2 linked regions of the Canis lupus familiaris genome follow. The protein of the gene in region 2 purifies or fractionates together with the protein of the main gene of each other region. This does not show direct contact. Links are inferred from orthologs where the notes say so. Each region holds a gene or a part of one and is shown on either strand. Other genes may lie near its edges. The genes, in order: PPP2R1A and PPP2R3A.

Region 1 (4,603 bases), on a different chromosome or scaffold from region 2:
AGGACCCCCTCCATCCACTGCCTTGTTGGGCTGTGAACTGTGGAAACCAATTGCAGTGCAGAAATGCTTGCATGGGTCACTCATTTAGATGCCCATGGTGAGGGCCTGTTCTTCACAGAGACTGCCTAGAATCAAGCTGATGATTGAGCCTGTTTCTGATGCAGAGGTATTTTTCATGGGGAACAAAGGACTAGCTAAGGACAAAGCACAAGCCCTGGGAAGTACATTGACAAGTCCTTGAAACAGGGGGAGTGATGTTCCTCTACAGACTCAACTGCCTTGGTGTTCATACTTTGCTAAGGGCAAAAGGCAAGATTAGCCAGACACCCAGGATCCTGTAAGTCTACTTTAACATATAAAAATTCCTTTAGAAATTCCCTTTATCTCTAAACCCCCAAGATACATATTGGCAATCATCCCACAAGCACGTGGCTCACCAATATACATTTGAAGGGTCTCATGACTCAGGTTTTATTAGACGGTAATAAGTGACCTTTTCTCAACAATAGCTAGCCCCCTCAAGGTCCTGGAAACCTTGCTTCCAAAATTCCTTAGAGTATGCTATCCTCAAACCCCTCCCAACCCCCAGGTATATAATCAGCCACCCCTCACAGGCCTAGGGCAGCAGCTCTTCCTGTCCACGGGTCCTGTCCCCGTGCTTTACTAAAACCACCATTTTGCACTAAAGACGTTTCAAGAATTCTTGGTGGTCGGTTCTAGACCTCACCTATAATTCCAAAACTTCATCAGTGGTAGTGGTAGTCGTATGTGGTTCTGAGGGCTGGACGGCAGTGAACGGGAGACATTTATGCAGAGATCTGCTCTCCAAGGAAAGGGATGTTTTGGACAAATGCTGTTTGACGTGAAAAAGCATGATGTACTGCGAGGGCTCTAATTTTTCAGGGCCACTGAAGTGTAAAACGAGAAGTGGAAGATGCGCCTAAGTACGGTTTAGGAACCAGATTCACAAGGGCCTTGACTATCAGCCTGAAGGGCTTGAGTTTCATCGAGAGAGTAAGGCAAGTCACCAACCTTCGGGGGGCCTCCGCATAATAAGGCAAAAACCTAAGGCTCATTCCCATCTCCTCCCTCACAGAGTTGCCGGCAGTACGTCCACCAGGAACCAGGACCACTGCCTCACAAGCCAAAACTTGCAGACTGTCCGGGTCCTCACATGACGTCACGCACTCCAAGCGACGCATGCACAGAAGCTTTGTGCTGGACCGGCCAGAGGGCAGTCTTTGCTTCCTCTGAATCCCTCCATTTATTGGTTAGGTACAACTGCTCGTCTCCCTCGTCGTTAGCGGCGACGTAGGCGGGTACAATCTTGGTCGCTAAGATACCGCGTACTTCCGTTTCCTTCCCCTCTCTGCTATACTGAGACCGCCGACTTCGTCCCTTCAACCAATGGCAAATGGGCAGTGGGCGGGGCTTCACTTATCCGGACCAACGAAATGCGGGCGTCGCGCGGCCAATGACCGTGGGGCAGCCCCTGTAAAGTGGCTCAGGCGACCCCACGCTCGTCTTCCGTCCTCTGCCCAGCCCTACCCTTCCTGCCCCGGTTTCAGCACGGCGCCGGCTGCAGTCTGACAGGAACGGGACGGAACCAAGATGGCGGCCGCCGACGGCGACGATTCGCTCTACCCCATCGCAGTGTTGATAGACGAGCTTCGCAACGAGGATGTTCAGGTCCGGAGGCTACGGGGGTCTTGGGGAATTACAGGAAGAGGTAATGGGGGCACGGACGGCCCTCGCGGAGAAGGCTCAGTGTTCGCTAGGAGTGGCGGAAGGGGGAGGCGGCCAATCAGCGTCCGGCTTTCACGTTTCCATGTCCCTGGACTGGATGAGAGGGCGCCCGGGATTGGGTGTTGGCCCACTGGAGGGCGGGAGGCAGGCCAGCCTGGAGGCGCCCGGGCCTGCCAAGTGCGCGCGGCGGCCCGGGTCCTGGGAAGCTGCGACTGGGGAGGGGGTCAGGCCACTGGGTGGGGCGGAGGGAAGGGCTCGGTGATTGGCGGCGGCCCCAGAATGGCCTCTTGGGGATGGGGCGCGCGGCCTATTCCGAGTGGGGGAGGGGCCCCCGGTGTGTGGGGGCTCGGGTACGTTTTCTCCTTACTGTGTTCTGGCGGCTGGGCCTCAGCGCCTTGGGGTAAACTCTCGGAATGGGGCTTGAGCGGTGACGGCTGCCCTTCCAATTCCTGCTCTCCCTCCCTTTTCAGTTTTGGTGTAGAATCCACGAGGGGAGGTGCGGCGAGAACACCCCATTCCCACGAGAGCAACTGGCCAAATTTAAGCACGGATTTCGAGATAGAGATTCTCCCGCCTTCTGGGGCCCTGCCGGGCTGCGGTGGGCAGTTGACTAAACAGCCTAGCACATTTCTGGTGAAGGGCTGAGAAGACTGAGGACTCCACGGTTTGCCCACCCCGGCCCTACCTCCCACCCGCCGTGTGACCTTGTGCAAATTACTTCATCGCTCTGGGCCTGTTTTCTCTGCAATGTAGGCTAATAATAGTTCCGGCCTCCCTGGGTGGTTGTGATGGCCTGGACGAGTTAATACTGCAAGTAAAATAGAACGGTGCCTAATTGTTATAAGGGTCCAATAAATGTTAGCTGCAATTATTGGGAGTAGTAATGGAAGAGGTCCCATTCCTTTATAGGAGCTTCCATTTTTCTGTTTATGAAATTGAGCGGATTGCATTAGGCCCAGCCTCTGAAGTTCGAGGTAGATCACTGATTCTGGAGTCAGACAGGCTGCTGCTGTACTTCTTGCTAATTGACATGGGCAAGTTTGTTAATCCTCTTGGCCCTGGCTTTCCTCTTCTCTCAGATGGAGGTAATTATCTGGTTCATAGGGCTCTTGTATGAATTCATTTGTTCAATAAACACCTGCCCCATGTCAGTTATGGTGATAATGGTGACACCAGTTGTTATACAAGAGGCAGATGTGAAACAGCTGAATAGATTATTAACAGTTGTGAGATGTGGGAAGGAAACAGGGTATTGTGATGGTGAATCAGTATTTATTGGGCCTCAGCTCTAGGTAGTGCATTGTTTTAGGCACATGTATACAAAAAGGAACAAGGTGGACAAGAACTCCTGGACTCCTACAACTTTTATGTTGCCTGTGGAGAAACAGACAATAAGACAATTAAGTTAAAATGTATACCATGTAAGATGGCAATAAATGCTTTGGAGAAAAATGAAGCAGGGATGGAGAGGACGGGAGAATGTTACACAAGTTTAGAATGACTAGGCAAGGCCTTATTGAGAAGGGGACATTTTAGCAGAAATGTGAATGAGAAGCAGGCCTCATAGATATCTGGGGGAATAGCATTCCAGGTAAAGGAAGCAAGCGCAAAAGTCCTGCAGCAGGAATATGTAATGCATGCTCTGAGAACTGCAGGAAACCAGTGTGACAGGAGCCAAAGGAATGAGCTGTTGGGTGTCAGGAGATGAAGATAAAAGGGACTATGACTCAGAGGGAACTTGTGAGCAGTCACTTAAACTAGGTGTTGCCAGATCATTGAGCACAGTGGTTAAGAAAGTTTTTGAGATGTTTTATGGTACAGCTTAACAAGTTTAAGTAGCATGAGGACCTGTGGATAGAAAGAGCTGTACTTCTGTATGAAGCCAGTGGTTATATGCATGGTGCTCAAGGGGCAAGGGATGTGGAGGGAGTATTAGATCATAAATGTTTTCGAATTTCTAATTGTAAAACTAATTTCACAAGATTTCTCTGGTATTAACTATTGGTGAGATATAGAGGCACTCTTTAAGAATGTAGCAAACAGGTTTTTTGTCCTTATTGAAACTATGCAGCTCTAGGTCAGCCTTCTGGGCTAAAAATGAACATATTTCTGCTTCTATCCCTCATCACAGGGATTGGCAAATGGCAAAGGGTGGCCCTTTGCCTTTTTATTTTTTTAATAGAGTGTTATTGAAAACACAGACTCTTCCATTTACATATTATCCATGGCTGCTCTGTGAAACAATAGGGTAGAATTGAGTAGTTGCAACAGAGACAAGTTTTGGCCCCTTAACGCCTAAAATATTTACCACCTAGTTCTTTACAGGAAAGAGGATGCCAACCTTTTTTTTTTTTTTTTTTAAGATTTTATTTATTTATTCATGAGAGACAGAGAGAGAGAGAGAGAGGCAGAGACACAGGCAGAGAGAGAAGCAGGCTCCATGCAGGGAGCCTGATGTGGGACTCAATCCCAGGACTCTAGGATCACGCCCTGGGCCAAAGGCGGCGCTAAACTGCTGAGACACCCAGGGATCCTGAAAAATAGATAATTAAACAAAATACGAAAACTCGACTTGAACCACCTCTGTATTAAATCCTATCCTCTCTTCCCCCCTACCTCCACCCCCAAAGTAGCCTATGTAATGAGGTCCTTACAAATCCTGGTAGGTATGTGCTGTTCACTGTGCTAGCCACTCTCTATATGTGGCTGTTGAACACATAAAATGTGGCTAGTTTGAGTTGAGATATGCTTATAAGTATAATACATTACTAGATTTCAGAGACATTATGGAGGGTATTAAACATTTCAGTGAAGCTTTTTATCTTGATTACCCATTAAAATAATAAAAATGTTATAT
Region 2 (3,818 bases):
ATAGATGGATCAAATAAATTTTTTCAACATGGGGGAAAAACCTAGCCATGCTTAAAAACAGAAAGCAAAGAGACAGTGAGGAGAGAGAGAGAGATTAGGATTGCCAGAGAAAGAGAGATTATATATCATTTAGTAGTTATATTACCTTTGCAATTTTTCCCATTTCATAGATGTCTGCTTTCTGATCTTCAATATCCATGAAAGCAGTTTCAATTTTGCTTAGAGTCTGTTCATGGTTACTGCAGGCATCTGGGAGTCCTTCGGGAAAGTAGAACTGTGGAATGTTTATGGACAATGGTGCATTCACAACATTATTCACATGAGGAACAGGGGAGAGAGGTCGGGGACTACTTGGAAAGGTGGCTGTAGGTGGAAGTGGCGTTCCAGGTTTCTTTTCTGGTTTATTTTGAATCTGGAAGGAAAATGTGATTATGAAACACAAAAATTCTCAACAGCATATACTTCTTGAAAGTCCTCATCAGTAATAAGAATAGAGACAGCAGAGATGAAGAAATCACTCTATTACTAGGGTGATAAGTGTGCTTCTAGGGAATGCCTATCCATAAAAAATAAACACATTAATTATCTGTCAATATTCGAATTTAAACAGATTTATGCTTTAAAAATCCTACAGTACATTTTCCCATCAATTATGTTCTAGACATTTAAGAGCAATGTTAGCTGACATATTAAGGAGTATTCAAATGTATTCTTAGTCTGTTGGAATTGGAGTAGTAAATTCTTTCTGAAGACTGTTCATCTTTCTGCACATTTCTACTTCTACTTTGACAGGCAGATAAGAGTAAGTTCTTTTAAAATGCACACATCTAAAATATATTGGGGGGGGTGTCTTTTCACCTTCTTCTCTCTAGTTTGACTTTGTTTAGGTAAAATCACTGCCAGTCCCTGATGCAGAGAAAGCCTTTGTTAAGAAAATTAAAGCATCTTAGTTTTTGGAATGTCTTCTATCAGGTTGATTTACTTGCCCCTTGGGGCATGCAATTTTTTTTCTATGATACACACTTCTTTCATTTTTGGTACACTCTAATAATAGGCAGGGATCATGGTCATCAATTTCATTGCAGCCAAACTCCCTTCAGAGTTTATTAACTCATTTATAGTTTATGTCCTTCCTTTGTCCAAAAAAGATTTCATGTGGTATGCCATAAAGAAACATAAGGACGGTATAAAGGGGGGACAGGCAGGCAATGAGGAGATTAAGATTATCCATGATTTAGGGAAAGGGGAGGGGAGGTTCACTAACATTCAGGTAAAAGTCTACTTTACCAATGAAGACTAAATTGAGTTTGGAGATTCCGAGCAGAAAAAGCAAAAAAGATTCCAGAGTTTTAATTTCTTCTCTTAATTTTGATCAAATTATCTATCAAGGCTCATGAGCATGGCACTGTGTTAGGTACTACATAAAGTTATCAAAGAGTGACATGACTGTTGATCATCATGAACACAAAATATTACCCAAATGTTAACTTTCCTTAAATAATCCGAATGCCACTCCTAAAGTTTGAACAATGATTTATTTCTAAGTAGTAGATCTGAATATCATATTTCCTTTTGACATATGGGCTCATAACAGATCTTTAAACTCAGGATAAAAATCTTGGCTACCCTTGAAAAGCATAAGTATTACAGGAAGATAGCTTCATTCACACAAATATGTGATGAATATGATTTAGTCTTCTTTTGTCACACATGACACATTCTTAGATTAATATCTGACACTAATACATAGAGTCCGCTCATATATTAATACTACTGGGGATATAAAGACCAGTTGGTCATACCAAGATTTTGCTGCAGTATAAGCATGTCATCCCTATAAAGCAACAGTCAAAGAAAACATGGCACAGAGAAAAGTGAGGCTAATGAAATATGAAAAACGTAAAAGAAAACAGTGATGGCTTACTAGCTCTGTGACCTCAGGAAAATTACTTAACCTTTTAGAATTCAGTAATAAAACAGATTATAACACTTCTTGGAAGGTTGCTGTGAAGATTAAAGGCAATTACAGGACATAACTAATATAGGTAAAGGGTTCAGAACTGTGCTAGACACAGATATGTCCTTATTTAAGAGCCACAAGGCTAAAGGGTGAGGTTCTTAAAAGGCTAAATATAATTTGGCATGGTCCTTCAGATTCAACAAGAAATAAAAGAATTGTTTACATTTGTAAAACAATTTAAAGTTTACAAACCACTTTTGATTTGACAAATTGATAATCGGTTTATAAACATTTCTCTCTGCTTTAATGCTAAATCTGTAAATATTATTACATAGTCCCATGAGTCAGTAACAGCAGAAATTGTTCCTAATCTTCTACAGGGCATATAATTCTTCAGGGGCTTTACATTTAAATATAATAGGTCATTTATATTAGTGATATCCCCTTTCTATTATTCTATGCTGAAACAGGTCTGTGAGACTACAAGTGTACAATCATGAAAATTCTTTTTTTGTTTCCCCAAAATGTTTCCCATGGTGTGACATCCAGGCAGTTATAACTGTAGGATTAAGACCACTGGTGCCAGTGGGGATGAAATCCAATAGTTTAGTGAGCACATACGAGCAGAGGTTTTAAAGCAAGGCCTTCTATGATAACTCTACACTTTTGCTTCGACAGAAGTAAGTAACAATTGAGAACAAACCCTGCTATCTGTCAAAGTTTTTATTTAAATGGGTATTCAATTATATAATCTACTTTGCTTTCCTTAGTGTACCTCTTACCATTAAGCAATTCACTGATAGGAAAGTATTTATCAATTCATTGGTCAATCCCATATATAACAAAATTGATGTTAATATTTAAAAGGGAAAAGAAAAAATGCATTTATTTTGCACTTTTATATGTTATCAATTTACTTTCCACTGAATTCAATACAAGATACATAATTTAAAGTATTTTAATAAAGCTGACCTTTATAAATGCTATAGAATAAGACAGTTAAATAAAATTTGGCAGATTTACTGGCAAGTTCAGCATCTGCTCATTTTGAATAGAATGGTTTCATTCAAATTGAGAAATAGCATTAAAATAGAACTATTAGGGGAAAATGTCTCAATTCTCCATTTCATTCTCCATTTATTAGCCTATAAATATAGTATCATTTAGTTAGTACCCTTATACTATTATGTCACTGTAGCATTTCCAATATTTGGCCATTTTTTATTTAAAAAAAAAGCAATTTCATATGGTTCACTCAATCTGAAATCACTCTGAATCAGAATAACTATGAAACTATGGTTTCTTACTGGATTCTGGGTGGCCATCACTTGTATGACCCTTGATTTGTATTGCATTCAAGGTAAGGCAAATTGTTTGATACAACACTGGCCCTAGGTATAAGAAAGTAAGCATGGGTTCTGCAAAGTTATCATCATAGGCAGAAATGACTCAGTATCACAGCTTGCTGAGGGAGGACATTCCTTCACAACCCAGAAATTAATTGCCATCCTTTGTTAGTTTCATACATTATATCACACCCACACAATTGTCTATATATATAATTAGTTCTTCCTGAAAAAAAAGATTACCAGGCCTGATACTTTAAAAACAATTCATTACAGATGTATTACAAACATCGTCTATTGATTCAAAGTGTAAATAAGGCTTTTAACACAGAAATTCCAGTTTCTCAAAGACATTTCTACTAAAATTTGTAAACTGTAAGATATTTATTGAGGTGTATTTATTGTCTCTAAAACTGGATTCCCTCTCTACAAGAGAAAAATGTGAGTACTGTACTTCAGGTCCAGAAGGTCTATTTTTAAACCTGTTGGAATCTCTCTACAAATAGCTTTCT

What was found.
Region 1: the proteins of PPP2R3A (region 2) and PPP2R1A purify together in Homo sapiens (affinity purification with mass spectrometry; 6 studies listed by BioGRID and IntAct, counting the BioPlex papers as one, with this or other methods). This does not show direct contact. The link is inferred for Canis lupus familiaris from reciprocal best matches to the Homo sapiens genes PPP2R3A and PPP2R1A.

Annotation. Positions count from the first base shown.
Region 1 is NC_049222.1:105,633,796-105,638,398, reverse strand, and holds the start of PPP2R1A (serine/threonine-protein phosphatase 2A 65 kDa regulatory subunit A alpha isoform), read left to right. Parts: upstream 1-1,506; 5' UTR 1,507-1,611; coding exon 1,612-1,689; intron 1,690-2,026; exon of another isoform or gene 2,027-4,603. UniProt on the Homo sapiens protein: The PR65 subunit of protein phosphatase 2A serves as a scaffolding molecule to coordinate the assembly of the catalytic subunit and a variable regulatory B subunit.
Region 2 is NC_049244.1:33,033,618-33,037,435, reverse strand, and holds part of PPP2R3A (serine/threonine-protein phosphatase 2A regulatory subunit B'' subunit alpha), read right to left. Parts: intron 413-3,818; coding exon 146-412; intron 1-145. UniProt on the Homo sapiens protein: The B regulatory subunit might modulate substrate selectivity and catalytic activity, and might also direct the localization of the catalytic enzyme to a particular subcellular compartment.